4 linked regions of the Lonchura striata genome follow. The protein of the gene in region 2 purifies or fractionates together with the protein of the main gene of each other region. This does not show direct contact. Links are inferred from orthologs where the notes say so. Each region holds a gene or a part of one and is shown on either strand. Other genes may lie near its edges. The genes, in order: CDK9, CDC37, epithelial discoidin domain-containing receptor 1 and DNAJB1.

Region 1 (7,634 bases), on a different chromosome or scaffold from region 2:
AAGTGAATGCAGTGCCCTCCTTAGGTGCCTTGCGCCAGCACAATGTTCAGGCTGCAGAGGTGGGAAACAAGGATTTCCCTCCAGCCTGTGCTAAGACACCTGCTCCTTGGAAAGTCACCCTCTGAGCACAGCAGAAGTCTTTCCCATTACCTTGTTCCTGTGGATGTAGTAAAGTCCATTCAGGAGCATCTGCATAACTTTCTTAATCTCTGACAGTGTGAACTTGACATGGGCGTTGCTGAGAAGGCCAGCCAGGTCGTGCTCACAGAAGTCAAACACAAGGTAGATGCTGCCCTTGCACCGGTTGTACGGAGAGGCTGCGGGAGAGGCACAGAGAGGCTGCCAGTGAGGGACCTTTCACTGGGTCACAGCTCCTCTCACCTCCCACTCATACAACACCCCCTACACAGAATCTCAGGGCACGGGAACACAGAGAACCAGACAGCCTGCAGGCCTCAAGGTCCTTTTTAAAGAACTGAGCAAAAACTAGCAACACAAGAACGGGAGATGAGGATTGGTGCAGCAAATGTCATCAGAAAGGCAAGGAAAGGGCATGGCAACCTTTGAAAGCTTCACTTCGTGCAGCTCTGGGCACGTAACGGCTGTGGGGTTTCCTCCCTGCAAGCTGTGGCTGCCAGCCAAGCACCAGAGATAGAGGAGACACCCACAGACAGCCCCGGGAAAAATGCAGAAACACAGAAAATCTGTCTAATCTCACATTAAAAAGTGAGATTTCCTGCAACCTCAAACAGGATCTGCAAAAACGGACTGATCTTGATCAAAGTGATATAAAACTCCAATTTTAATTGAATGATAGCAGACTTTAAGTGAAGACTTTAAGTGATAAGATAGCAGACTTTAAGAGATTTTAATCTTGTTCCTAGAGCACCCACGCAAAACATTATTAAAAAGAAAAGCTGATTTTCATCAGTTGTAATCAGCAAACCTGCTGATCAGCATCTCCAGCCGGAAAAGCTTAGCCCCCAGAGAAGCACACTACTCTCCTCCCCAGGAGGGTGCCTGCTACACTGAGTTTGCAGTTCCTCACACAGACACAGCCCCAAACACGCCTTTCCAACACAAAAAGAGAAAAGCCTCATGTTTGACAACAGTAAATGAAACATTTCTACTTTACTGCAAACTGAGGTCAAGGTAGATTTGGATAAAAACTGGAATACAAACAAAACATAAAAAGGGAACAAATGACATGTCTACAAAAATATTTACTTTTGGTATGTGAGACACCCAATCATGGCAGCTCTTTTAATCACAGAGTGAATTACAAATTAACTTGTCATTGGTGTCTTCACTCATACCTATTCAGACAGTAATCTACACACAATTCAGTGTACTGGAGTATCTTGAATTTCCCATCACTAGGCCAGACATTTCTGCCCATTCAGTGACTGGACTTTTTAAATAACACCAGATACAGAGGCTGAGGAGCCTCTGCTCCAAAGTGCTTGTTCGTTTAAAGCCTCTCAGAAGGAGCTTCCCAGCACAGGCATATCCTGGCAGGACTACAACAGCTTTTTCCATCTGAGCTTCAGCAACGTCCTGACTCATTTAGGAACTCTTTTCCAAGGTAAGTAACCTGTCACCCCATGTCACAGGCAGGAAGAGAGGCCCATGCTCAGCTAGACCACTCCACTCCCAGCACAAGACACCAGCCTGCTCACCACTGGCAGGGCTCAGAAAAGCCATCATTGACACAAGGGACACCCTGCAAAGTACCTTTGGTCCTGCAGATTTCTATGAGGTTCACCACATTCTCATGTTTGAGCAGCTGGAGGATTTTAATCTCTCGTAAGGCTGTGATGGGAAACTGGAAAAGAGAAAGAGAGAATGGAGGTTGGAGATGCAGGAGACAAGGCCATCTTTGCCAGAGAACAGGAGGTGTGACCATGCAGCTTGACAGGTCCTCCCCTCCTCTCCTCACCTTTTATATTCACACTAGGACAGGGTACAGCCCAGCCTGAGCTGCAGAACAGCCTCCCTGGCTGCTGCCTTTGCTGTTTAAGCTCTTAACTCTCTCCCCAACCCCTGAGCATGTGTCTGACACATCACCCAGTTCTTCCACAGACACAGCCAGTGTGGAGCCCTGTGCTCAGGGTCCCAGAGGAGAAGAAACACATGGGAAGCAGCCATCCCATGCAGCCCAGTCCCCTCGCTGCTGCCATGTGCCTTTGCAGCCCAGGTGACAACAGGCCCAACCCAGCCATGCCCCACACTCACCCCTTCTTTCTCATTTTCCATCAACACCTTCTTCAGTGCTACTTTCTTGCCTGTCTGGCGATGTTTAGCTTTGAAAACTTCTCTGTTAAAAAAAAAAAAAAAAAAAAAAAAAAAAATTTAAAAAATATCCATGAGCAGCACAAGGAGAAAGGAGCCAGGTGCCCCCACAAGGAACAAGCCCAAACAAGATACACTAAAGCACCACACAGAGAACTCTGTGCTGAGCCAATATAGCCACATTCCCCTGGGCCAAAGGCCCTCAGGACTCAGTGAACCAACAGAGAGCCCAGATCTCTTGCAGCCTTACAAGGATTTCCAGTAATGTAGCACATTTTGAGCAAAAAGCTGTACATTTGGAGCCAAGCTGCACATTTGGAGGCAAGTTACAGGTCGCCACCCTAACTGTTTTCAAGGTTAACTCTGCTCTGGCAGAGCTGGGACAGAGCGGGACCTCAGGTTGGGAAAAGAGGGCCCAGGAAACAGACTGGCTCTCTGAGGGCAGAGGGGCGGCAGGGGAAAGGACACCGAGCAAGGAGCACCCGAGGCAGGCACGATGGGCCGCGGGCTGGGCCCAGCTGCAGGCCTGAGGCTGGGGAAGGCCGGGGCGGGTCATGGAGGGCCGGGGCCGGCGAGCACTCACCCGAAGGTGCCCTGCCCGATCTTGGCGAGCTTCTCGTACTTGGAAACCTCGTCGCAGAAGGGGCACTCGACCATGTCGTACTGCTTGGCCATGGCGGCCGCGCCGTTGCCACAGCACCGCGTCCCGCCCGTTCCGCCACGTGACGCCGTCACGTGACCCGCCCGCCCGCGCGGGGCCCTGTGGGTGTTGCAGTCCCTGGGGCCGCCGCCATGTTGTCCCTCCTCGTGGCCCGGGAGCCCCGAGCGCTCCCCGTGGCCCTAAAGCGCTTTGCTGGGTGCCCCGTGTGTGCTTAAGCACGTCAGGAGTTAAACAAGGCTTCTGCTCCTGCAGCTGCGGCTCTGACGCAGGGAGGCTTTGGCCAGGCAGGAGGACTCCAGGGTCTGGTTCAGGGGACCCTGAGTTCCTCCCCTGGCCGTGACTGTGTTCAGGTGCAGGACAAAGAGCTCCATCTCAGGCTGTTCGAAACCGGTCCCCGAGGTGCACAGCACCAAAGGACCGAGCTGTGGCAGAGGTGGCTGCCAGCGGCTTGCTGAGGGAAACACAGACAGCAGACCCCTGCTGGGTCCAGGCCACCTTGTCCTGCATGGCCACACTGTAATGGAGCACTGTCCCCAGAAGGAGAGAGTGGCTGGTGAGGAGTGCTCCTGCTGGCAGCGACGCCACCCAGCTCTCATCCCACACGGGCTGAGCATCTGACGTGCACGGCAGAGTTCTGTCTGCAGGGCTGGAGCCTCACCCACACAGCTGGCACCCTCACCCAAAGGGCTGTCACGCTCCTCCTAAGGCTGCCACCTTCTTCCATGAGGCTGGAACCCTCTTTCAGGGCTGGCACCCAGAGGTTTTTGGTTGTCCACATCTGGCAGATGTCCCCAAACCGGGGTGCGGAGGTGACTCTCGAGCAGCCAGGCAGGTGCAAGCAGCCACGGGGACTTCAGGAACTGTGGGGACAGCGCGAGGGCGGGCAGGGACAGCAGCGGGGCAGGGAGCAGATGACAGCAGTGGGGAGGAAATGCTGAGCGAGCGATGAGCGGGGTGGCTGGGGGGGCAGGAAGGGAGGAGCAGGCAGGGAAGGGCTTCACAGTTATATACTTGTCCCTCTTAGTCCCCGCGGCCTCCAAGCAGCACGGCCATGGCCGAGGGCCAGAAACGACGGGGCTTCAAGAAATTCAGTAAGTGGCCACGGCACAGGGTGGGCGGGCTCACCTGGACGTCTCGGTGGGTAGGAGGATGTGTGACAGTTAGTGTTGAGTGTGTGCTTACACGCTCCCCAGGTCATCCCATCCAGGGATGGGGTCATCCCAATCCAGGGATGTTTGGAGCTGTGACAGCCTCTGCTTTTGTTAGGAAACTCAGTGGGGTGAGGGACTTTGAGGTTTTCATCCACAGGGCTGGGTGCTGGCTCAGGAGCTGGGTGCAGGGACTGGGACCAGTATGCTGCAGCACAGCCCTGTGCTGGATGCTGGGATGTGGGCAGAGGGATGCACAGCAGGATTTGGAGATTCTTCACTCCTTAAATCATTAAACCAACTTCAGGGTGCATGGCTTGGGTACAAGATGGTGCTGGGGGCCAGGGGTGGCTAGGACCCTCACCCCAGGGTGCTCCTGCAGCACAGGGACGGGGGTGACACAGAGAAGCTGGGGAGGGAGCCTGGGAATGGATTCCCACCGGCTCTTCTGGGAGGAAGTGCTTGATACCCACCGGGAGCGAGCTCTGCACTTTCTCACAGACCTCAGCTTTCCCCCGGAGCTCCGGGGGGAGGCTGCAGTGGCCTTCACCCCATTCCCAGCGCTGGGCTGTGCTCTTGCATTCCTGCCACGGGGCTGGCGCCAGAGGGGGGTCAGTCCCTCTGCTCCCCCGGGACCCCTCCACTGGCCAAACCCAGGGCCCCATCCCAGCTGGGATTTTCCTTTGTGGTGGAGTGGCGTGGAAATTGAGAAAATCCTCAGGGCTGCCTTTCCCACCTTTCAGCAGCCCCAGGAGCAGCAGGTAGCAGAAGATGCTTGGACTCCAAGGGGATGTTTAGCACAAAGTAATTTTGCCTCTAACTGCACTCAATGAGGTTTCTGCCTCACAGAGGGGCTTTTGGGATGCAGCCCCTCCACCCTGTCCAGCTGCAGGGATGCCCCACAGAACCCGTGGATGGCAACTGGAGGTGGGAATCCAGGGGCTGAGCAGCCCGGGACACCCTGGTCCTTGCTCAGCACCTCTGCAAAGTGTCGCTTCCTGCCCCAGCAAATCTGCCGTGCTTCGCAGAGCCCCGGGGCGGCATCAGCACTGCAAAATCCCCGGTGGGAACCACGGCGGCAGGGAAGCGCTGCTCAACAGCACTGCAGCCACAGGCTCGCTCAGCCCGAGCACCGGCACCGGCACCGGCACCGGCACCGGCACCGGCACCATCCAAGGCTGCGCTGCGGTGACACACAGAGCCGAGCTGGGGCTGGGGTGTGAAATGCAAAGCCGCCCGCCGCAGTTATAAATATTTCTCCGGCGAACATGTTCATGCTCAGCACTTGCAGGTGGCAGCTGGAGCTGGCGAGGGGCCGGGCGAGGAAGTGGGGAGGTTATCTGCTGCCGCAGCAGCGCCCGTGGCTGGTTCCTGCTCCATCGTGCCGGCGACATGCACATGTGGGCAGGTCATGTGCATCCAGGACCCCCATTCCCTAGGGAGATGCCGTGTGGCCCATTCTTGCATCCTGCAGGGCTGCCCTAAGGTTGCGGGGATGGGCATAGCTCTGCCCAGAGGCCCCTGGAGGAAGTAGGTGTTAGAAATAACTTTTAGAGTTGCCTGCTCACCAGGGTTGGGTGTTTCCTCCCCTCCTCAGCCGTGGTAGGGAGATACAGCCGCTAGATTTGCCAGGCACAGGAGACTTCTGCTCCCCGAGGGACCAGGGCAGAGTTCCCAGGTACCCAACAGACATGCCTCAAGCAGCATCATGTACACCACAGACCACAGGGATATCATGCCAAGCTGGGCCTGCAGATGTGGGTGTAACAGGGTGACACCAGGCTGCATAGTGCTCCTTGCTCAGCCCAACCCAGGACCAGGGGCTCTGGGATCCCCCATCATCACACCATGCCAGCAGTAACCCCACACTCATCACTCCTTTCTCCTTGCCAGAGTTTTTCAGGTTCAAAGGCTTTGGGAGCCTGAGCAGCATCCCCCGCTCCTTCACCTTCCGGCGCGTCCCTGTGGACCCCAGCTGTGCCGACAATCTCAGAGCACATGTCCCACCTCCCCACGGCTTCCTGGGAGAGCCCTTTGACAGCACCCAGGATGATCTCAACACCGTGCCCAAGAGCCCTGGCCCCTACGCCCAGTCGTCGAACATGTACTCCCACATGGGCACCATGCCCAGGGTGAATCTGGGCAAGGCAGGGAAGAGCCTGGGCAAAGACAAGAGTAGCCAGAACTGCTGGGAGAAAGGGACTCCCAACAACAAAACCCCCCAGGCAGCCCCACTCCCCAGCCTCAAGTGCCCTGAGATGTCCAGCACCCCTGCCCCAGGCACAGACTCACCCTTGACTGCTGGAGAAGCAGGGCAGGAGGAGGAAAAAGCTGAACCTGGGGACACCGTGGAGGCAGCAATGGACAGGACAGACCAGGAGCCTGTGGGAAACGTCTCCTGCCCTAGGGCAGAGACACTGAGCTCCAGCCTGGCTCCAAACCCCAGCCAAACCACAAGCCCTGACACAGCAGCTGGAGCAGAGACCACTGATGGGGATCTGCTGGAAAAGGGACAAGAGCATCCTGACAAGATCTCCCCAGACAGGTATAACCCTTGAGGTTTGCTCTGCCTTCTGCTAAGACCCCCATTTTGCTCCCCCACAGGGCAAGAGGAGGGGGCTGGGACCAACCAGGGTCACTGCAATGTCCCCTCGTGCCCACAGTGCCAGCGGGATGCACCTGGCCGGTGGGACAACACAGCTGGAGCACGGTCAGGTCAGCGGCTCCATGGGAACGAGGTTTCCTGTGGGATTTCTGCTCCCTCCTGTTTCCGGACGGGGTGGAAACATCTCGCAGCCCCGCTCTGCCCCGGCATCTCTTTGTCCTGCGGCGGCTGCGTTCCAGCACCAGGATGTGCTGCTGCGGAGAGCTCACAGCAGCACTGTTACAGCCTCCTCCGCCTCTCTCCGCTTTTCCACCCCCTCTGTCCTCTCCCCCTCTGCCGAGCAGCGCTGCCTCTCCCAAGGCACAGGGGCAAATCCTGAAACCAGACACTCCGTCCCTATTTCATCACCTACCAGTAAACCCCCACTCTGGGCACAAATTCCCCACTCCAGGCACAATCTCTCCCTCCGGGGGAATTTGGAGGTTCAGCCCTCTGAGATGACGGATGGATTTTTTGGAGGGTTTTGACCGCAGAATCAACCTTAGGGATTTTTATCCTCCAGCCCCATGGCATCTGGGCATAAGGGGCCAAATGCGACCCCAGCCCAGGAGGGTGTGCGAAACTGGGGACACAGGCAAAGGCAACTCCAAATTTCTCCCGAAAACATTTCTCCCCCTTTCCCTGGCCTGACTCTCCTCTCTCTGCGCTCAAGTGGCCCCGGTGTCCCTTTCCCCCTGCACCGCCCCGGGGCCGGGGGCTCCTTTTCCTGACACTGAGCGTTCCTGAGGTCCGGGTGGTCCCGGGAGCGGGGTGAGGAGGAGAAATTCGGCGGTGGGAGCCGGGCTGTGCCGACCACACATTCCTGGCGGCCCGAAGGGTGGGCCGGAGGAGGGCTGGGACGGGAAGGAGGAGGGTCCGCCACCGCCTT
Region 2 (7,592 bases):
TCAGGGAGGGATTTTGGGAAAAGGAAAGAATTTGAGGCTACACCTGTGGAAATTGGGGTGCACACGGCCTCAGGGAGGGATTTTGGGGAGTCCAGGGGGGATTTTTACCTTAATTTTGGTGAAAAACTGCCGGAAGCAAGCCCTGGGATCCACCTTGAGGCTCTTGGCCAGCTCCAGGATGAACTGCATGACGATGGTCTGGTGGGCCACCTGCTCCATCAGCGCGTGTTTCTGGGGGGAAAACGGGGTCAAAATCCCCCCAAGATCTCCCAAAATCCCCATTCCCCACTCGGCCAAACCCCTTTTTGGGTGAGGAGGAGGCGATTTGGGTCAGGGAATCCCAAGTTGGATTGAGGATGAGACTGGGTTAGGTTCGATGCTCTTTAGGAGCTGTTTGATCCCAAATTAATCCCAAATTCCCTGATTTTGTGGGCTCCTCATCCCAGAAAAACCCTGGAGCTGCAGGAGAGGTGTCAACCTCTCTCCCAAGGAAAGGTGGGTGCTTCTACAGGATGATTTTAAGGATCTTTTCCCACCTCTCCTGCCTTGTAAGTCCTCAATCCTCTCGGGTTTTTTTTGGCAGGAAAAACGGGAAGAAATCCGGAGAGATGAGAACAAGGCAGCTCCAGCTTGCAAAAGTTGGGGATTTTAGGATTTTTACCCCAATTTCAGCCTGACTGCTCACCTCCTCCACCTCCAGGTCGATGCACCAGATGACCAGGTAGTTGGCTGTCTCCTCGCACACCAGGTGAGGGTTGTCCGACAGGTACTTCTGGCTGTCGTCCCAGCGCCTCAGCATCCCTGCCACCGGGAACCAGGAGAATTCCCCCTCCTCAGCCGGGGAACAAACCCCAAACTCCGCCTGGATGAGGCTGGCCAGGAGGGCGAGCACCTCATCGTGAAATTTAACCCAATTCCCCCCAAACTGTGCTTCAGCGGGGGGAAAAAAATGGGAAAAAGCACACAAAATCCTCAATTTTTCAGCGCAGCGAGAGGATTCTGGGTTGGTCCCACCACGGGGGGTGTTCCCAAGCTTGGAGAACCCCAAAAAGCGTCCCCCAGCTCCCTAAAGCCCCCCAAACCCCCTCACCAAAGTGTTTAATCTGCTTCTCGTATCGCTCCACGAAGGTTTTGTGTTTCTTCTCCTTCTGCTCCTCCGTCTCCTCCTTCTCCTCGGCCTTCACGTTGAAAACACTCTGGGAATGCCAAGGAAGGCAGGGAATGACTTGGGGGATTTAGGACACGCTGGGGGTGCTTTTTTTGGGGGGTTTTCTCCCCAAAAAACCCGCACCTTGCTGAAGCCATCCTTGCTGAGCGTGTCCACGTTCCAGGGCATGTTCTTCTCCTTCTTCCTCAGCTCCTCCAGCTTGTTCTCCCAACTTTTCTCCTCGTTCCTCAGCTGCTGGGCCTCGGCCTGGAGCTTCTCCAGCTCCCCTTTCCCACTCTCCGGCTCGGCGACTTCCAGCTCCTTCAGCTTCCTCTGGCACTCGGCCAGCTTGCGCTTGCACTCGCGGCAGCCTTTATCCAGCTCCTCCTTCTCCTTCTGGAACTGCTCCATGCGCTCCACGCGGGCCTGGGGCGGCAGGGAAGGAGCTGGGGCGCCTCGCTCCCGGGTTTTGGGGGGGTTTTGGGGGGTTCAGGAGGGGCTGAACCCCCAAATCCACCCCAGGGAGCTGCAGCTTTTCCGTAGGGAATTGGGGAGGATCTGGAATTCTGGCGATTCCCACGGCCCAAAGCTGGGTGTGAGCCCTCGGAGGGGTCGCTGCCCCATCCTGGGACACGCAGGGGGATTTTGGGGGGCTGGGACCCCCCCCTCACCCTGAGGTGATTCCCGAGGGAAGGAGCAGCCCCTGGGCACGGCAGGGATGGAGCGGGAGATGCCGGGGGCAGCGGGAACCGGGAATGGGATGGGGAATGGGGAATGGAATGGGATGGGGAGTGGGATGGGATGGGGCACTGGGAATGGGGAACCGGGAATGGGATGGGGCACTGGGAATGGGGAACGGGCTGGGATGGGACATCGGGAATGGGGAATGGGATGGGATGGGGAGTGGGATGGGATGGGGCACCGGGAACGGGAAACAGGGAATGGGATGGGGCACTGGGAATGGGGAACCGGGAATGGGATGGGATGGGGAATGGGGGAATGGGATGGGATGGGGAGTGGGATGGGATGGGGCACCGGGAACGGGAAACAGGGAATGGGATGGGGCACTGGGAATGGGGAACCGGGAATGGGATGGGGCACTGGGAATGGGGAACGGGCTGGGATGGGACATCGGGAATGGGGAATGGGATGGGGCACCAGGAATAGGAACCGGGCCGTGCCGGGATGGGGAACGGGAACTGGGCCGTGCTGGGATAGAGAACCGGGAACGGGCTGGGATGGGATGAGGCACCGGGAACGGGAACCGGGCCGTGCCGGGATGGGGAACGGGAACCGGGCCGTGCTGGGATAGAGAACCGGGAACGGGCTGGGATGGGATGAGGCACCGGGAACGGGAACCGGGCCGGGATGGGGAACGGGAACCGGGCCGTGCTGGGATGGCGGAGCTCCCCGCGGGGGCTCCAGGGATGATCCCACGGGAATGCGGGGAGCCCCCGCCCCACGGGAGCCCCTGGAGCTGGAAAAGAACAACACCCCCCCCCATTCCCCGTCCTGCGGGAACACGGAGAGCCCCCCACACCCCCGGGCTCCCACGAACAACAGATCCCCAGCCCGTGCCTCCCCCGTCCCTCCGGGAATCCCGGGAATTCCGGTCGCCATGGGAACCGGGCCTCCCTGGGCGCGCCAGGCCCGGGGCTTGGGGGCAGAGCGCCGCGGGCCGGGCCGAGCCGCACCTGGTGGCGCCATCGGAAGAGACTGGCGGTGTCGATGTTGGGGTGAGTCTCGTCCTCGTCGTCCGAGACCTCGATGTGGTCCCACACGCTGTAATCCACCATGGCGCGGCCGCCGCCACCTTCCCTCCGGCCCCCGCCCGCTTCCGCCCGCGCCTGACGCACTTCCGGCGCCGCGCCCGGCCTCGCTCGCCGCCCGCGCCAAGCCGCGCCCTCTTCAAAGATGGCGGCGGATTTAAAGAGACACGAGCACACCCCCCCACACACACACACACAGGCATGCGCCATGGTTTTTACCTGCGGGTGTAAAGGAGTCAATAGAATGAATAAAGTCTTTCAAACTATTTTAAGGGTTTAAGTTGAAGGAAAATCCTGATTTGAAAAGGTTTAGTTAACTAGGAACCCCTACTTTCTATTATTTTAGGATTTAGTTGACGATAAATCCTATTTATTAATTCCTTAAATACTTAAATTGAGGAGGGATCTGTGCTTTCCATCGTTTTTAAGCGTTTAAATTGAAAGAAAATCCTGCCTCTTCAGTGATTTGAAGAGGTTTAGTTAACTAGGAATCCCTACTTTCTATTATTTTAGGGATTTAGTTGAGGATGAACCCAAATTTTTAATTACTCAAATAGTTAAATTGAGGAAGAATCTGTGTTTTTCATCGTTTTTAAGGGTTTAAATTGAAGGAAAAGCCTTCCTCTTCCATGATTTGATGAGGTTTAATTGACTGGGAATGACTACTTTCTATTATATAGGGATTTAGCTGAGGATAAATCCAAATTTTTAATTCCATAAATAGTTAAATTGAAGAGGAATCTCTGTTTTCCATCGTTTTTAAGGGTTTAAATTGAAAGGAGATTATTTATGGGACGTTTTAAGAGTTCCATCAACAGGGCCCCTCGATTTTAAGGGATTTTACAGGGAAAATGGTGTCAAAAAGCCCCAAAACTTGTGTTTCTTGAAGGAAAACCAGTAAAGGGAGGAGGAGGCCTCTTGTGGGGTTAAATTGAGTAGGAATTCCATTAAAAATTTAAATTGAGGCAGGATCCAACATTTTAAGGGTTTAAATTGAGGGAAACTCCACCCTTTTCACCATTTTTATGTCTTATTTTGGGAGGAGACCCCCTTTATCCACCATTTTAGGGGTCTAAACATAGAGGGAATGCCTTTTTCCATTTTTGAGGTTTAAACTGAGGGAGCAAAACCTTTTTTTCATTGGTTAAAAGGGTTTAATTAGAGGGGTTACTTAGGAGGGGAAAAAGGGGAGAACAGGAGGGGAAAAGGGCAGGAAATGTGAGGGGAAAACGTGGGAAATGTGAGGGGGAAAAGGCAGGAAATGAGAGGGGAAATGTGAGGGGAAAAGGTGAGAAAGGTGAGGGGGAAAGGTGAGAAAGATGAGGGGAAAATGGGTGGAAAATGTGAGGGGGAAAAGGACGGGAAATGTGAGGGGTAAAGGTGAGAAATGTGAGGGGGAAAGGTGGGAAATGTGAGGGGGGAAAAGGGCAGGAAACATGAGGGGAAAAAATGCAGGAAAGGTGAGGGGAAAATGGGTGGGAAATGTGATGGGAAAGGAGAAGGAAATATGAGGGGAAGAAGGTAGGAAATGTGAGGGGAAATGTGAGGGGAAAAGGGCAGGAAAGATGAGGGGGAAAAGAGAGGGAAACATGAGGGGGAAAGGGTGGGAAACATGAGGAGAAAAAAAGGCAGGAAATGTGAGGGGGAAATGTGAGAAATGTGAGGGGAAAATAGGCAGGAAATGAAAGGGGAAAATGGGTGGAAAATGTGAGGGGAAAAGGTGGGAAATGTGAGGGGGGAAAGGTGGGAAATGTGAGGGGGAAAGAGAGGGAAATATGAGGGGGAAAAAGGTGGGAAATGTGAGGGGAAAGGGTGGGAAATGTGAAGGGGGAAAGAGTGGGAAACGTGAGGAGAAAAAAGGCAGAAAATGTGAGGGGGAAAAAAGACAGGAAATGTGAGGGGGAAAGGTGAGAAATGCGAGGGGAAAAAGGTGGGAAATGTGAGGGGGGAAAAGGGCAGGAAACTTGAGGGGAAAAAATGCAGGAAAGGTGAGAGGAAAATGGGTGGGAAATGTGATGGGAAAGGAGAAGGAAATGTGAGGGGGAAAAGGGCAGGAGAGGTGAGGGGAAAATAGGGAAATGTGAGGGGAAAAGAGAGGGAAATGTGAGGGAAAAGGGAGGGAAACGTGAAGGGAAAATGGCAGAAAATGTGAGGGGAGAAAGGTGGGAAATGTGAGGGGGAAAGGTGAGAAATGTGGGGGTGGAAAGGGCAGGAAAGGTGAGAGGAAAAGAGAGGGAAATGTGAGGGGGGAAAAGGTGGGAAATGTGAGGGGGAAAAGGATAGGAAACGTGAGGAGAAAAAAAGCAGGAAAGGTGAGGGGAAAATGGGTGGGAAATGTGATGGGAAAGGAGAAGGAAATGTGAGGGGAAGAAGGTAGGAAATGTGAGGGGAAAAGGGCAGAAAATGTGAGGGGGGAAAAGGGCAGGAAACTTGAGGGGAAAAAATGCAGGAAAGGTGAGAGGAAAATGGGTGGGAAATGTGATGGGAAAGGAGAAGGAAATGTGAGGGGGAAAAGGGCAGGAGAGGTGAGGGGAAAATAGGGAAATGTGAGGGGAAAAGAGAGGGAAATGTGAGGGAAAAGGGAGGGAAACGTGAAGGGAAAATGGCAGAAAATGTGAGGGGAGAAAGGTGGGAAATGTGAGGGGGAAAGGTGAGAAATGTGGGGGTGGAAAGGGCAGGAAAGGTGAGAGGAAAAGAGAGGGAAATGTGAGGGGGGAAAAGGTGGGAAATGTGAGGGGGAAAAGGATAGGAAACATGAGGAGAAAAAAAGCAGGAAAGGTGAGGGGAAAATGGGTGGGAAATGTGATGGGAAAGGAGAAGGAAATGTGAGGGGAAGAAGGTAGGAAATGTGAGGGGAAAAGGGCAGAAAATGTGAGGGGAAAAGGGCGGGAAATGTGAGGGTGGAAAGAGAGGGAAATGTGAGGGGAAAAGGGCAGGAAATATGAGGGGAAAAGAGCTGGAAGCGTGAGGGAAATGGCCGAGAGTCCCTCAGCCATCCAGTCCCGGACGGACGCACCCTCCCTGCAAAAATCACGTACAAATTCTGCCTTTTAAATTTTTTAATTGATTTTTTTTTTTCCCATGAAAAATACAAAGAGTCGAGTCCAGGGGTGGGGGCCGGGGGGGTCCCGGTCCCCTCCGAGGGGTCCCGCAGTGCCACCAGGGTGGGCACCTTTTGTCCCCACGTTGGGCCCCCCAAAAATGGGCCGGGGCTGAGGTGGGGACCCCTTATTGCTACTGAACTGGGGGTCCCCTGGCCCCCTCCCCAAATTCCAGGGCTGGATCCCTGGGAGAGGGGGTGGGGGTCAGAGTTTGGGGGGGTGGGGGGTGTGATGGCGGATCTGGACACGGGGGTCGCTCCTAAATATTTATATTAATAATAATTAAAACTACAAGAAGCTTCACACAGGCACGACACAAAAAAACCAGGAGCTGGGATGGGATTGGGGGAGGGGTCTGGGGGGAAAAAAGAGGGTCCCGGGGAGTACCAGGATCAGGGGAAAAAACAGGGAAGAATAGGAAATAAATGGGAAATAAACCACTGAAAAGTGAGAAATTATCCCGACAGCGAAGGGAAAATAAATAAGAATCGCAATAATAATAATAATAACATCAATAATAATTAATAAGAATAATAATTAAGAATAATTAAGAATAATAATGACGATAAAGGAGTATGGGGGAACTCAGGGTCGGGGCTTTTGAGGTGGGGTTCCGCCCTTTTTTTGGACAGGAGGCTCCAAGTGGCCAAACTCCAGAAAGTGGAGTAATTTGGGGCAAAAATTGCCCATTTTGGAGAATTTGGGAAGGGAGAGGGGGGAAGTGTGACAAGACACATCCTCTCCCTCCCAGATTTGGGGGTACCAGAGGAATCCCTGGAATTTCAGTGCCACTGACCCCCCAGAACTTGCCTTGATCCCTCTTGGGGTTCACAAGCTGCTTCCAAGGAACTCGGGGAGCACAAAACAGGTTCTCACCCTCTCTGGAACGGCGATTTGGGGGATTTTGGGGGATATTTTTAATATTCTGCTATAAAAATAGATGGATTTGGGTCAGCGGCTCCCGAGGAGTCGCCGCTCCCTGCGTCAGTCACGCTCCTCCTTACCTGATAACGGGTAACAGGTCTAATTAAACACGTGGTAAATCCTTATTTTTTGTTCTTTCTCCCCAAAAATTCCTCCCCCTCCCCCAGAAAATTAAGGGAAAACATGGAAAGAAGGAGAGAGCGAGAAGACGCCCCCCCCCTCTCACCGCTGGAGTCCTGGAGTGGAGGGAAGGGGGGGCACAGCCCCCACCTGGACACACCTGGATCAGGTGAGGGGGGGACACCGCTCCAGGTGGTCCGGCCACTGCCGGAGTGGTGGGGTTTGGGGTACCCGGGGGAGGGTCCCAGGTGTGTCCACAGTGTCCTGGGGGGGTCTCCAGGCTTTCCAGGGCCCCTCCCAGTGCCCTGGAGCACCTGGAGGATTCCTCAGGGTGCCCATCGGGGACAGGTGAGGGCGTCCAGGTGTCCGGGCCGTGCCTCAGGTGTCCCCACGGTGTCCTCAGTGGCCATGGAGGGGGTCTCCGGGGTCTCCGTGGTGTCCCCACGGTCTCCAAGGTCTCCAGGTGCGTTTCTCCATCCTGGAGACCCAGGATGTCCTCGGTGACCATGGAGGGTGCCCGGGACCTGAAGT
Region 3 (7,672 bases), on a different chromosome or scaffold from region 2:
CACCCAACCATTGACCCCAACACCCAATGGATGACCCCATGACACAACCATTGACCCCATGACACAACCATTGACCCAACACCCAATGGATGACCCCATGACCCAACCACTGACCCCAACACCCAACCATTGACCCTAACACCCAACCATTGACCCCAACACCCAACCTGAGATGAAGGACACCTCACTGAAGAGCATCCACTCGGCGCCGAAGAAGAAGCGGCACTGGATGAAGCGGGCGTGGCGCCCGCCCAAGGGCACGGCGACCCAGCGGGCGCTGGCGTCCTTGGTGGCCCCGGCCAGGCTATGGGTGGCCACCATGGGCTCCCAGGCCGTGGCCAAGATCTTCTTGAAGCGGCACTCGACAGCCCGGAAGATTCCGACCCCGCGCGTGTGGAGGTTGTTGCAGTGGACCTGGGGGGGTGATAGCACGTCCCATGATGCCCTGGGGCAAGGTGGCCAATCCCGAAGTTCTCCAGAGGGACATTTTGGACCCCGAGGTGGCCTTGGCGTGGTGGCCACCCCTCCATCCGTCCATGGCTGACCAATCCCACCGTTCCCGGTGCCCCAGATCTCCCAGCATCCCCTGGGGCACCTGCATGGCGTGGAAGGCACGGAGCTCCTGGAACTCGAACTCCAGCTCCACGTGGGGCTGGGGCCCCGGCGGCCGCGGCCACCCCACGTAGTCGTAGCCCGGCCACAGGTGGCGCTCACGGGTCCTCAAGAAGTCATCGAGGCCCAGGACCCCGTCCGAGAGCTGGCCCAGCCCCCCGAAGTGCAACCTGGGCAGGTGGGACACACCTGGATCGAGATCCTCCAGTGACACCTGGGAACCCCCCAGTGACACCTGGGCAGGTGGGACACAGCTGGATCTGGGGATTGTCCCATCCCACCTACCTGGGACCCCTCCCAGTGACACCTGGGCAGGTGGGGCACAGCTGGAGATCCCCCAGTGACACCTGGGAACCCCCCAATGACACCTGGGCAGGTGGGGCACAGCTGGATCTTGGGATTGTCCCATCCCACCCACCTGGGGACTGCCACGGGACAACCTGGGAGTGTTTGGAGACACCTGGGGATGGTTTGAGGACACCTGGGGACACCTGGAGACACCTGGGGATGGTCTGGGGACACCTGGGGACACCTGGGGACACTCACGGGCCGGCGCTGAAGCCGTCGTAGATGGAGTCGTTGAGGACGATGGGGGCGGGGTCCAGGGCCATGACGTGTCCCCGCGGGGCCGTGTAGGACAAGAGCCCGGCTGGAGACGGGGAGGGGTCACCGTGAGGTCACCACCCCTTGGGGACACCCAGGAGGTGCCATTGGGTGGGCTGGGGGCGTGGCCATGATGATGTCATGAGCCAGTGAAGGATGTTGTCAACCAATCGTTGACCCCATGACCCAACTGTTGGCCCTACACCCAATGGATGACCCCAATTGATGACCCCAGCACCCAATGGATGACCCCAACACCCAATGGATGACTCCATGACCCAACCATTGACCTCAACACCCAATGGATGACCCCAACACCCAATGGATGACTCCATGACCCAACCATTGACCTCAACACCCAACCATTGACCCCACAGTGACAAGACCCCAACTCAGCTGCCCCAGGGTCACCACCAAGGGCCGTTGGGTGCTGGATGCAACCGTGGGTGACCACCACCCCTTTAGGGCCACCAGCAGGGAGGGGACTGAGGTGACCCGGGGGTGACCCGGGGGTGGCAGTGAGGTGACAGTGAGGTGGCAGTGAGGTGGCGCTCACCCTCCCAGGGGCAGCCGTAGAGCTCCAGGCGCAGGCAGACGCTCATGGCGCGCGGCGCCCGCGGGTACACGCGCAGCGCCCGGGCCACCGGCGCCGGGGACAGGTCCTTGAGCACCACGCCCTCGGGGTCCTCATTGCCACCGATCACCTGCGGAGCCAGCACCCAAGGGTGGCGTCAGCCCGGGACACCCCGGGAACTTCTCGGGGTCTGTCACAGCCCGAGGTCTCCCGGGGCGTCCTCGATGGCCTCGGCGCCACGATGTCCCCAAGGTGTCCCCAAAGTGTCCCCGAGGTGTCCCTGAGGTGTCCCCGAGGTGTCCCCAAATCCCCTCAATGTCCCCAATATCCCCAAACTACCTCAACACCCCTGATGTCCTCAAATCCCCCCAACATCCCAAACATCCCCAAATTCCCCAACGTCCCCAAATCCCCTTAACGTCCCCAAAGTCCCCAAATCCCTTCAATGTCCCCAAACCCCCTCGATGTCCCCAACACCCCCAAATCCCCCGTTGTCCCCGTGGCCACCTCGTGTCCCCAGCGGTCCCTCCAGCGCAGCCAGCGGCGCCGGTCGCGGCTGTAGCGCAGCCGGTACTGCCGGGCGAACTCGCGGCCGTGTCCCCCCGCGTGGCGTCCCTGCGTCCCCACCAGCGTCACCACGTGCAGCCGGCCCAGGTCCACCTCCAGGAACTCCTGCTCGGCCGGGAACACCGGCCCCGCCGGGCACCAGGCGCCGTCGCCGTCGCTGCGGCCCAGCCTGGGGACGTTTGGGGACATTTGGGGACGTCTGGGGACGTTTGGGGACGTTTGGAGACATTTGGGATGTGAGAAAAGTCACAGAATTTGGGGACATTTTGAGGTTTGGGGACACCCAGGGGTCATTTGGGGACACCCAGGGGATGTTTGGGGACATTTGGGGACATTTGGGACACTCAGGGATGGGAGGACATCCAGGAGAGTTGGCGACATTTGGAGTTTGGGGTTTATACTGGTTTATACTAGTTTCTATCAGCCCATACTGTTCCATACTGGTTTCTATCAGCCCATACTGGTCCATACTGGTTTATACTGGTCCGTACTGGTCCATACTGGTTTAAACTGGTTTATGCTGGTTCTTACTGGTGCGTACCGGCCGTGGCGGGCGGCGGTGGAGTCGGACCAGGCGCTGGAGGCCGAGAGGCGGAAGTCGGGGATGGTCCCGTCCTGCATGCCCAGAGCGAAGCGGCAGCGGCCTGGGGACATCGGGGGGGACATTGGGGACATCCAGGGGTCATTGAGGACATTTGGGGACATTGGGGACATCGGGGGGGACAGCAGGGGACATTGGGGACACTGGGGACATTGGGGACATCCAGGGGTCATTGAGGACATTTGGGGACATTGGGGACATTGGGGGACATTGGGGACATTGAGGACATTGGGGACAGCCAGGGGACAGTGGTGTCATCAAGGGGGATTTGGGACATTGGGGGGACAGCAGGGACAGGGGGGACATCGAGGGGATTTGGGGCAATTGGGAGATTTGGGGACATTGGGGACACTGGGGACATTGAGGTGGACACTGGGGACATCCAGGGGTCATTGAGGACATTTGGGGACACTTGGGGACATTGGGGACACTGGGGCCAGCGGTGGCCGAGGGGTCACTCACCCAGGTCCAGCGCTGTCCCCGCCGGCCCCCGCGGGGTCCCCTCGGCCACCCCGGCCAGCAGCAGGAGGGGGAGGGGCAGCGGCAGCGCCGCCATGGCCCCGCCCCCAGCCCGGGGACTGGGAGCACTGGGAGGGAACTGGGAATGAGCTGGGAGGGACTGGGATGGACTGGGAGTGAACTGGGAGGGACTGGGAGTGAACTGGGAGGGACTGGGATGGACTGGGATGGACTGGGAGGGAGTGGGAGGAACTGGGAGGGACTGCGAGGGAACTGGGAGGGACTGGGAGGGAACTGGGATGGACTGGGAGGAACTGGGAGGAACTGGGAATGAACTGGGATGGACTGGGAGGGGACTGGGAGGGAACTGGGAATGAACTGGGAGTGAACTGGGATGGACTGGGAGTGAACTGGGAGGGAACTGGGAGGGACTGGGAGGGACTGGGAGGGACTGGGATGGACTGGGAAGAACTGGGAGGAACTCGGAATGAACTGGGATGGACTGGGATGGACTGGGATGGACTGGGAGGGACTAGGAGGGACTGGGAGGGACTGGGAGGAACTGGGAGGGACTGGGAGGAACTGGGAGCACTGGGAGCCCCCCAGCCCAGCAGCTGCTCCCAAAATCCTTTGCTGGAATTTCCCCCCTCCCCCCTCCCCCCCACAACAGCTGCAGAGGGGGCGTGACCTCGGCTTGACCCCACCCCGTAATTTGCATAAAGATGAATATTCACCAGCCCCATTTAAAACCACCCGGGGCGGACAAAATGGGCCCCAAGTGTCCCCAAAATCCATCCGAAATTCCCCCAAAAAAATCCCCAAAATTTCCCCCGAGCCCCCCAAATCCCCCCCACAAAATTCTCAAAATTCCCCCAGACCCCCCAAAATCCCAAAAATCCCCAACATTCCCCCATATTCCCCCCAAATCCCCCAAACTCCCCCCGATTTCCAGAAGTTCCCCCCAAATTTCCCCTAAATTCCCCCCCAGTTCCCCCGAAATCCCCCGAAAAATCCCAAATTTCGCCTAAATCCCCCAAATTCCCTCCAAAATTCTCCCAAATTCCCCCCAAACACGCCAAAATCCCCAAATTTCTCCTAAATCCCTCCAAATTCCCCCCAACACCCCCAAAATTACCAAATTTGCCCCCCAAATCCCCAAATTTTCCCCAAATTCCCAAAGCCCCAGTGGCCGGTGCCCACCGCTCTCCTCGGCTCCTTCTGGTCGCTCCCAAATCCCCCCCGGATCCTCCCCAAATCCCCCAAAATTCCCGGGACCTCCCCCCGGGGGGGCTCCAGGGGGGCTTCCGGACTCCAACATTCCCCAAAAAAATCCCAAAACAAGAAGTGGGGAAATTCCCACAATTCCGATTTTTTTTGGAGGGGTAAAACCCCCAAAATTCCGTTTATTTGGGAGCTTTTTATTCCCCAATTTCCCCGAATTCCCTTTTTTTTTTTTTTCATCCTTTTATCCAAAAAATTCCCGTTTTGGGGAATTGTTATTCTCAAAATTCCCATTTCCCCACCCCCAAAATTTCCATTTGCCCTGCTTCATCCGCTCCCCCGCCGCAAATTCCCATTTCCCCCAAAAAATTCCCATTTTTCCTCAATTCCTCCCAAAATTCTCATTTTCCCCCTTTTATTCCCATTCCCCGCTATTCTCCCCATTCCCTCCCCCAATTCCAATTTTCCTCTGTTTCTCCCCAAAATTCCCATTTTTCCCCAAAAAATTTCTGTTTTCCCCATTTCCCCCAAAATTCCTATTTTCCCCCCAGAATTCCCATTTTTTCTCCAAAATTCCTCTTTTTCTCCAAAATTGCCGTGCTTTCCCGTTTCCCCCACAAAATGCCTTTTTTCCCCATTTTTATCCCAAAATTCCCATTTTCCCCAAAAAATTCCTGTTCTTCCCATTTTCCCCAAAAAATTCCCATTTTCCCATTTTCATCCCAAAATTCCCATTTTTTTTCCATTTTTATCCCAAAATTCCCATTTTCCCCCCAAAATTCCCATTTTTATCCCCAAATTCCCGTTTTCCCCCTTTTATTCCCATTTTCCCCCCTCCGCCTCCAGCCCCGGCCGGGTCACGTGACCTCGCAGCTGCCGCCCCTCCCCCCCCGGGGCCGCTCCCGGGAACAGCTGGGAAAGGGGGGAGGGGAAATTCCGGTGTTTGTTAATTAGTAACTAATTAATATGCATAGCTGCTTAATTAGCCATCGCTGTCAGTAGTTATCAATCGTTATTAGCCATTATTGCCCAATTAATTATCATTATCTTGTAATTATTAGTGATTATTAGCCATTATTAGTGGTTATTAGCCATTATTGCCCAATTATTAATCATTATTTTGTCATTATTAGTCATTATTAGTTATCATTAGTCATTATTTCCTAATTATTATTTATTATTTCCTAATTATTAGTGATTATTAGTTATTATTAGCCATTATTTCCCAATTATTATTCATTATTCATCGTTATTAGCCATTATTTCTGAGTTATTAATAATTATTTCCAAATTATTAATCATTATTCATCATTATTGAGCCTTAATAGTCATCATTAGTCATTATTCATCTTTAATGGTAATTACTAGTCATTATTTCTCAATTATTAATAATTATATACTAATTAATAGTGATTATTAGTAATTCTTAGTCAGTATTTCCCAATTATTAGACATTATTTCCTAAGTATTAGCAATAATTAGTAATTATTTCTCAATATTTTTAATTATCTCCTAATTATCAGTCATTAGTCATCATTATTTTCTAATTGTAATTATTTTTAAATTAGTAATAATTATTCCTGATTCTTAATAATTATTTCCTGTAATTAATCATTATTCATCACAAATGATTATTCCTTCCTAATTAATAATCGTTATTTCCTATTATTATCCGTTATTAGCCCCAACAACTAGCAATCATTATTCATAATTACCCATTAATTAGCAATTATTACCACAATTTCCCATTAATTACCAATTAGCCATCACTCCGAACAAACCGCGCCTTCTCATTAGCATACCCCCACCCCTCATTGCACATACACGTCAATCATCCTCGTAACCCCGCCCACATGTCAATCATCCGCATAACCCCGCCCCTTCCCGCCCACACGTCAATCATCCTCATAACCCTGCCTCTTCCGCACACACGTCAATCATCCTCGTAACCCCGCCCCTTCTTGCCGCAACCCCTGCCGCCCAAACCCCGCCTCCCTCTCCTTTTCACCAATCAGCGCTGTCGCTGGGGGAGAGCAGCCAATCAGCGCTGTGTGCGCGCGGGGTGGGGGCGTGGCCCGGCTGCCGTGACGGGGAGGCGGCGGCGCCATTTTAGAGGCGAGCGGGGCGGGGGCGGCTGGGGCGGCCCGGGGGGCTCTGGGGGTCTGTGGCGGTCTGTGGGGGTCTGTGGCGGTCTGTGGGGGTCTGTGGGGGCTCTGTGGGGGCGGGTGGGGGCGGGTGGGGTCCCGGGCGGGCCGGGGCTGCTCGGGACGGTTCGGGGGGGCCTGGGGGCGTTTAAAGGGGTTTGGGGGGGGCTGGAATGGGGGGGGGGCTGGGGGGGGCGAGGCCTGACTGGGATCGATGGGGGATTTATAGGGGATTTATTGGGGATTTATAGGGGATCTATAGGGGATTTATGGGGGGTCTATAGGGGATTTATGCGGGATTTATAGGGGATTTATTGGGGATTTATGGGGGGTCTATAGGGGGTTTGTAGGGGATCGATGGGGGATTTATTTGGGATTTATAGGGAATCTATAGGGGATTTATTTGGGATCGATGGGGGATTTATGGGGGATCGATGGGGCATTTATGGGGGGGGTCTATAGGGGATTTATGAGGAATTTATAGGGGATTTATGGGGGGGTCTATAAGGGATTTTTGGGGGGTCTATAGGGGATTTATGGGGGGATCAATAAGAGGTTTATGGGGGGGTCTATAGGGGATTTATGAGGAATTTATAGGAGATTTATGGGGGGTCTATAAGGGATTTTTGGGGGGTCTATAGGGTATTTATAGGGGATTTATAGGGGGATCAATAAGGGGTTTATGGGGGGTCTATAGGGGATATTTGGGGGATCTATAGGGGAGGGGATCTGGGGAATATCCGGAGTGGTTTCTGGGGATATCCGAAACCTATGGCGGCTATAGGGGATTTGGGGAGGGTTCGAGGGGTCTGCAGGGGATTTTTGGGGGGGTTTGGGTCCTATATGGGACCTATGGAGTCTATAGGGGATTTTTGGGGGGATTTGGGCCCT
Region 4 (7,048 bases), about 880 kb from region 2:
TCCTGATGTCCCCAACCCATCCTGACGTCCCCAACCCATCCCTGATGTCCCCAAGACGATCCATCTGTGATGTCCCCATGATGCCCACCCATCCTGATGTCCCCAAGCCCACCCACCCTGACCTCTCACCACCCCCATCCCACCACCACCACCACCACCACCGACCTGCCTCAGGCTGATCTTGGCCGGGTAGACGATGTCGGAGCCGTCGCGGCGGAAGACGTCGTGCGGCTTGTCCTTCAGCACGAACACCACGTCGGCCGGGATGTTGGTGGCCGTCTGGTCGCCCTCTTTGGGGAAGGTGATCTTGGTGCCCTCCTTCCACCCTCGCTTCACCTCGATGGTCAAGATCTTGTCCTCGTTCCTCACCGTCTTCCCGTCGGGGCCCAGGCGCTTGTGGGAGATCTTCATCTTCTTGGTGCAACCGCTGTAGATCTCCTCCAAGGAGACGCGCAGCTCGTAGAGCACCGGCGGGTCCTGCCGGCGACCCTCGGCGCCCCGGGCCCGCGGGAAGCTGACGCTGCCGAAGCCGCCCAGGTGGAAGGTGCTGAAGGCCTCGTCTCCATCCTCGTCGTCGCCGTTGCGTTGCGCGAAGAAGGTGTCGAAGGGGTTGCGCCCGTCGAAGAACTCGGCGAACATGGCGTGCGGGTCGCCGCGGAAGGTGTAGGTGAACGTCGGACCGGTGCCGCCACCCGGTCCGGGGGTCGGGGCTCCCCCTTTCAGCCCTGAAGGTTTTTGGGGGGTGATGGGTTGGAGGGTGGTGAGGGATGGATGAAGGCACCCCAGGCACCCATCAGACCCCACCCCGGGGTGAGCCGCGGGCAGGGCGTGGAGCGGACGAGGGCGTGGGGGAACCGGTTCTGCCCGCGCCGCCGACGCCGCTGACGGGTCCCGGACGGGCTCCGACAGGCCCGGCCGGCTCGGCTCCCCCCGGCACGCCCCGGCGCCCCGGCGGCCACCCCCGGGCGGCTGGCCCGGCGCCGGGGCCGCCACGCGGGACACCGAGCCCGGAGACCCCGGGGACACCGAGCCCGGAGACCCCGGGGACACCGAGCCCGGAGACCCCGGGGACACCGAGCCCGGAGACCCCGGGGGATACCGAGCCCGGAGACCCCAGGGGATACCGAGCCCGGAGACCCCCACGGGATACACCGAGCCTGGAGACCCCGGGGACACCGAGCCCGGAGACCCCGGGGACACCGAGCCCCGGAGCTCCCCCCGTGGGACACCGAGCCCGGAGTCCCCCGTGGGACACCGAGCCCGGAGACCCCGGGGACACCAAGCCTGGAGACCCCGGGGGATACCGAGCCCGGAGACCCCGGGGGATACCGAGCCCAGAGACCCCCGGGGGATACTGAGCCCGAAGCCCCCCCCACGGGATACACCGAGCCCGGAGACCCCCGGGGGATCCACCGAGCCCGGAGACCCCCGTGGGATACACCGATCCCGGAGCCCCCCCCACGGGATACACCGAGCCCGGAGACCCCGGGGGATACCGAGCCCGGAGATCCCGGGGACACCAAGCCCGGAGCCCCCCGTGGGACACCGAGCCCGGAGACCCCGGGGGATACCGAGCCCGGAGATCCCGGGGACACCAAGCCCGGAGCCCCCCGTGGGACACCGAGCCCGGATACCCCCGTGGGATACACCGAGCCAGGAGCCCCCCGTGGGACACCGAGCCCGGAGCCCCCCCCGTGGGATACACCGAGCCCGGAGACCCCGGGGACACCGAGCCCGGAGACCCCGGGGACACCGAGCCCGGAGACCCCGGGGACACCGAGCCCGGAGACCCCCGTGGGACACCGAGCCCGGAGACCCCGGGGACACCGAGCCCAGAGACCCCGGGGACACCGAGCCCGGAGACCCCGGGGACACCGAGCCCGGAGACCCCGGGGGATACTGAGCCCGGAGACCCCGGGGGATACCGGCCCCGGAGACCTCGGGGACACCGAGCCCCGAGCCCCCCGTAGGATACACCGAGCCCGGAGACCCCGGGGGATACCGGCCCCGGAGACCCCCGTGGGATACCGGCCCCGGAGCCCCCCGCCCGCCCGGTGCGTGTCACACCTGCCCTGGCCATGCCCGCGCCCCCCGACCCACGGGCCCGGCCCTGGCACCTGGCCCTGGCACCTGTCCCCTCACCTGTCCCCTCACCTGTCCCCTCACCTGTCCCCCTCACCTGTCCCCCTCACCTGTCCCCCTTACCTGTCCTTGTCACCTGTCCTTGTCACCTGTCCCCCTCACCTGTCCCCATCACCTGTCCCTTTCCGATCCCCCAAATCCCCTCCCATGTCCCCCAGCCCCCCGACCCGAACCCCCGCCGACCCTCTGACCCCCCAAATTCCCTCCCGTGCCCGGACCCCCCGACCCCCTGACCCCCCAAATCCCCTCCGGTGTCCCCCAACCCCCTGGCCGGGACCTCCCCCGACCCTCCGACCCCCCAAATCCCTTCCCGTGCCCGGACCCCCCGACCCCCTGACCCCCCAAATCCCCTCCGGTGTCCCCCAACCCCCCGGTCCGGACCCCCCCCGACCCTCCGACCCCCCAAATCCCCTCCGGTGTCCCCCAGCCCCCCGGCCCGGACCTCCCCAGACCCCCCAAATCCCCTCCGGTCCCGGACCCCCCGAGCCCCGCTCCCCTCCCCGCCCCTGCCGTGCCCCCCGTCCCGGCCGCCCCCGTCCCGCCGGTGCCGCCGCTCACCCTCCTCCCCGTACTTGTCGAAGATCTCCCGTTTTTTGGGGTCGCTGAGCACGTCGTAGGCCTCGGCCACCTCCTTGAAGCGCTGCTCGGCGCCGGGCGAGCGGTCCTTGTCGGGGTGGCAGCGCAGCGCCTGCCGCCGGTAGGCGCGGCGGATGTCGGCGGCGGAGGCGCCCCGGGACAGCCCCAGCGTGCGGTAATAATCCTTGCCCATGGCCGGCCCCGCTGCTCTGGCACCGGGCACGGCGAGAGACTCCGCGGGACGGGCACGGCGAGGGAGCCCCGAGGGGCGGGGGGGCGGGGAGGGACCGGGAGGGAACGGGGAGGGATGGGGGAGGGATGGGGAGGGACCGGGAGGGACCAGGTGGGACCGGGGAGGGATGGGGAGGGACGGGGAGGGACCAGGTGGGACCGGGGAGGGATGGGGGAGGGATGGGGAGGGAACGGGAGGGACCGGGAGGGATGGGGAGGGACGGGGAGGGACCAGGTGGGAACGGGAGGGATGGGGGAGGGATGGGGAGGGACCGGGAGGGATGGGGGAGGGATGGGGAGGGACCGGGAGGGACCAGGTGGGACCGGGGAGGGACCGGGAGGGACGGGGAGGGAACGGGAGGGATGGGGAGGGATGGGGAGGGATGGGGGAGGGATGGGGAGGGAACGGGAGGGATGGGGGAGGGATGGGGAGGGATGGGGACGGACGGGGAGGGACCGGGAGGGACGGGGAGGGAACGGGGAGGGATGGAAATGGAGCGGGGAGGGACCAGGAGGGACGGGGAGGGATGGGGAGGGACCGGGGAGGGATGGGGAGGGACGGGGAGGGACCAGGTGGGACCGGGGAGGGACGGGGAGGGACCAGGTGGGACCGGGGAGGAACAGGGAGGGAACGGGAGGGACGGGGATGGATGGGGAGGGACCGGGGGTAGACCGGGGAGAGACCGAGGAATGGATGGGGATGGGGTTGGGACCGGGAATGGACCGAGGGATGGAGCGGGAATGGAACGGGAATGGACCGAGGGATGGAGCGGGAATGGAACGGGAATGGACCGAGGGATGGAGCGGGAATGGAACGGGAATGGACCGAGGGATGGAGTGCGAGAGAGCTGGACCGGGAATAGACCGGGAATGGACCGGGGAGGGAGCGGGGAGGGACCAGGGAAGGACCGAGGGATGGAGAGTCCGAGGGCTGGACCGGGGAGGGACCGCGAATGGACCGGGGAGAGACCGGGGAAGGACCGAGGGATGGAGAGACCGAGGGCTGGACCAGGAATGGACCGGGGAAGGACCGAGGGATGGAGCAGGAGAGGGCTGGACCGGGAATGGACCGGGGAAGGACCGAGGGATGGAGGAGAACAGAGCTGGACCGGGAATGGACCGGGAATGGAAGTGAACCGGAGGAAGGACCGGGGATGGGTCGAGGAGGGGCTGGACCGGAGACGGGACCGGGGAAGGAGCGGGGGGGACGAGGAGGGGTCGGGAAAGGGGCGGGAGAGGGAGCGGGGAGAGATCGGCGGAGGAACCGGGAGAGGGAACGGGGCGGGAGCCGGGGAGGGACCGGCGGAGGTGCCGGGAGGGACCGGGACGGGAACGGGACGGGAACGGGAACGGGGATGGGAACGGGGAGGATATGAGGACATGGGGACATTGGGGACATTGGGGACATTGGGGACACTGGGGACAGGGACACGGGCACACGGGGACACAGGGAGGGACAGGTCCCTCCACGCCGTTGTCCCCGTGGCCCCGCGGTCACCGTGTCCCAGAGTGTCCCCATGGTGTCCCCACGGTGTCCCCACGGTGTCCCCACGGTGTCCCCACGGTGTCCCCGCGTGTCCTCGGGACCCCCCAGCCTGCCACGACCACCCCAGCTCCCCCAGCCCCCCTGTGACCCTTCGGACCCCTGGAACCCCCCAGACCCCTCAGATCCCCCAAAACCCGCAGCCCCCCCAGTTCCCTCGGACCCCCCAGTCCCTGAGACCCCCCCAGTTCCTGAGACCCCCCCAGACCACCCCAAACCTCTCGGACCCCCCCAAGCCCCGCAGCCCCCCAGTCCCTGTGAACCCCCAGTCCCCATGACCCCCCCAGTCCCTGAGACCCCCCCAGACCCCCCCAAACCTCTCGGACCCCCCCAAGCCCCGCAGCCCCCCAGTCCCTGTGAACCCCCAGTCCCCATGACCCCCCCAGAACCCCCATGGCCCCCCAGACCCTTCAGGCCTCCCAGCCCCCCCAAACCTCTCAGATCTCCCAGATCCCCCCAGTCCCTGTGACCCTTCCCCTCCCCATGGCCCCCCAGACCCCCCAAAACCTCTCGGACCCCGCCAAACCTCTCGGACCCCCCCAAACCCCGCAGCCCCCCAGTCCCTGAGACCCCCCCAGCCCCTCTGACCCCTCCATTCCCCATGGCCACCCTGACCCCCCATGACCCCCCAGACCCCCCATGACCCCCCAGACCCCTCAGACCCCTCTAGACCCGCCCCCATGCGCTGCTTGCCCCTCCCACTCCCCGCCCCTCCCGCGAGCCCATTGGCCGAGCAGGCCATCACTCCACCCTCAGCCCCACCCCCTCCGCGATCCCATTGGCTGCCGCGGCCGTCACTCCACGCCCCGCCCCCGCCTCCCATTGGCGGAGTCCCCCTCGGGCGTTCGCGTCGCCCCGGCAACCGCCGAGGCGGGAAGGGGCGAGCGCGCGGGCGGGGCCGCTGCCTCCTGATTGGCCGCGCCCAGCCACGCGAGCGCCGCCGATTGGCCGAGCCGCGGGCCCCGCCCCCCCGCCGGCGTGAGGGGCGGGTCACGTGGGGGCGGCGGGGGCGGCGGGAGCGGCGGAGCGCAGCGGCCATGAAGCACTACGAGGTGAGGCGGCCGCGCCGCCCGCGGCCCGGCCCGGACACCGCCACCGGAGCGGCCCCCAGCGCCGCCGCCGCCGGCCCCGCACGGCGGCAGCGCGGCGGCGCCGCGGAACCCGCGCGTTCCACCCCGGGGCGCCCGGGACGCGCTGCGCGCATGTGCGGTGGGCGTCGTGATGTGCGCATGCGCGGCGGGAGGGCGAGCTGGCTATGGGCGGGGCTATGGAGGGCGTGGCGTTTGTCAAGGGGGCGTGGCTATTAAGGGGGCGTGGCTTGGGCTCCCGGGACTCCCGGTGGTCCCGGAGGGTCCCGGAAGGTCCCGGAGGGTCCCGGAAGGTTCTGGAAGGTCCCGGAGGGTCCCGGGCAGGTGCAGAGCCCGGAGGGGCCGCGGTGACCCCGGGACGGGTCCCGCTGTCCCCCCTCACTGAGCGCCACCGGCGCTGCCACCGTCACCGCTCCGGTGGCTCCTCCAGGGCCACCCCGGGGTCACCTCCAGGGCCACCCCGGGGTCACCTCGGAGCCACCTCCAGGGCCGCCTTGGGGCCACCACGAGGCCACCTCCAGGGACACCCCGGGGCCACCTCCAGGGCCATCTCCAGGGCTACCCCAGGGCCACCTCCAAGGACACCTTGGGGCCACCTCCAGGGCCACCCCATGGCCACCTCCAGGGCCACCTCAGGGCCACCTCGGGACCACCACGGGGCCACCTCCAGGGCCACCTCCAGGGCCACCACGGGGCCACCTCCAGGGCCACCCCGGGGCCACCACGGGGCCACTTCCAGGGCCACCCTGGGACCACCACGGGGCCTGCCCGGGGCCACCTCCAGGGCCACCACAGGGCCAGCCCGGGACCACCTCCGGGGCCACCTCGGAGCCACCTCGTGGCCATTTCCAGGGCCACCTCAGAGCCAATTCCAGGGCCAGCCCGGGGCCACCTCCAGGGCCACCTCCAGGACCACCCCGGGGCCACCTCCAGGGCCACCTCGGGGCCACCACGGGGCCACCTCCAGGGCCACCCCGGGACCACCACGGGGCCTGCCCGGGGCCACCTCCAGGGCCACCACAGGGCCAGCCCGGGGCCACCTCGGAGCCACCTCGTGGCCATTTCCAGGGCCACCTCAGAGCCAATTCCAGGGCCAGCCCGGGGCCACCTCCAGGGCCACCTCGGAGCCAATTCCAGGGCCACCTCATGGCCACCTCGGGGCCACCTCGGGCCACCTTGGGGCCACCAAGGGGGGGCGGGTTATATTTAGCGCTGGCGGGGCCGCTCGGGTTTCGGTGGCATGGAGGTGGCGGTGGCACCCGAGGGTGGCCCGGCGCTGTGGCCGGCGGTGGCCCCCGGCAAGCGGCCCAAGAAATCGGCCGTGCTCTTCTTCGAGGTGGAGATCCTGGACGCCCGCAGCCGGGAGAAGCTCTGCTTCCTCGACAAGGTGAGGGGACAGCGGGGGACAGGGGGACATGGGGGGATATTGGGGACATGGGGGGACAGGAGGACATGGGGACATCGGGGA

What was found.
Region 1: the proteins of CDC37 (region 2) and CDK9 purify together in Homo sapiens (affinity purification with mass spectrometry; 9 studies listed by BioGRID and IntAct, counting the BioPlex papers as one, with this or other methods). This does not show direct contact. The link is inferred for Lonchura striata from reciprocal best matches to the Homo sapiens genes CDC37 and CDK9.
Region 3: the proteins of CDC37 (region 2) and epithelial discoidin domain-containing receptor 1 purify together in Homo sapiens (affinity purification with mass spectrometry; 3 studies listed by BioGRID and IntAct, with this or other methods). This does not show direct contact. The link is inferred for Lonchura striata from reciprocal best matches to the Homo sapiens genes CDC37 and DDR1.
Region 4: the proteins of CDC37 (region 2) and DNAJB1 purify together in Homo sapiens (affinity purification with mass spectrometry; 3 studies listed by BioGRID and IntAct, with this or other methods). This does not show direct contact. The link is inferred for Lonchura striata from reciprocal best matches to the Homo sapiens genes CDC37 and DNAJB1.

Annotation. Positions count from the first base shown.
Region 1 is NC_134624.1:694,185-701,818, reverse strand, and holds the start of CDK9 (cyclin-dependent kinase 9), read right to left. Parts: upstream 3,003-7,634; 5' UTR 2,968-3,002; coding exon 2,876-2,967; intron 2,318-2,875; coding exon 2,236-2,317; intron 1,826-2,235; coding exon 1,735-1,825; intron 318-1,734; coding exon 151-317; intron 1-150. Other genes in the region: SH2D3C (SH2 domain-containing protein 3C), read left to right, coding at 4,005-4,044, 5,995-6,646. UniProt on the Homo sapiens protein: Protein kinase involved in the regulation of transcription.
Region 2 is NC_134623.1:1,357,387-1,364,978, reverse strand, and holds the start of CDC37 (hsp90 co-chaperone Cdc37), read right to left. Parts: upstream 3,012-7,592; 5' UTR 2,944-3,011; coding exon 2,842-2,943; intron 1,574-2,841; coding exon 1,292-1,573; intron 1,197-1,291; coding exon 1,091-1,196; intron 802-1,090; coding exon 686-801; intron 232-685; coding exon 109-231; intron 1-108. UniProt on the Homo sapiens protein: Co-chaperone that binds to numerous kinases and promotes their interaction with the Hsp90 complex, resulting in stabilization and promotion of their activity. Inhibits HSP90AA1 ATPase activity.
Region 3 is NC_134631.1:71,483-79,154, reverse strand, and holds the start of epithelial discoidin domain-containing receptor 1, read right to left. Parts: upstream 3,011-7,672; coding exon 2,898-3,010; intron 2,526-2,897; coding exon 2,297-2,525; intron 1,920-2,296; coding exon 1,772-1,919; intron 1,262-1,771; coding exon 1,159-1,261; intron 783-1,158; coding exon 596-782; intron 415-595; coding exon 168-414; intron 1-167. UniProt on the Homo sapiens protein: Tyrosine kinase that functions as a cell surface receptor for fibrillar collagen and regulates cell attachment to the extracellular matrix, remodeling of the extracellular matrix, cell migration, differentiation, survival and cell proliferation.
Region 4 is NC_134623.1:2,238,485-2,245,532, forward strand, and holds the start of DNAJB1 (dnaJ homolog subfamily B member 1), read right to left. Parts: upstream 3,008-7,048; 5' UTR 2,912-3,007; coding exon 2,701-2,911; intron 726-2,700; coding exon 166-725; intron 1-165. Other genes in the region: TECR (very-long-chain enoyl-CoA reductase), read left to right, coding at 6,727-6,967. UniProt on the Homo sapiens protein: Interacts with HSP70 and can stimulate its ATPase activity. Stimulates the association between HSC70 and HIP. Negatively regulates heat shock-induced HSF1 transcriptional activity during the attenuation and recovery phase period of the heat shock response.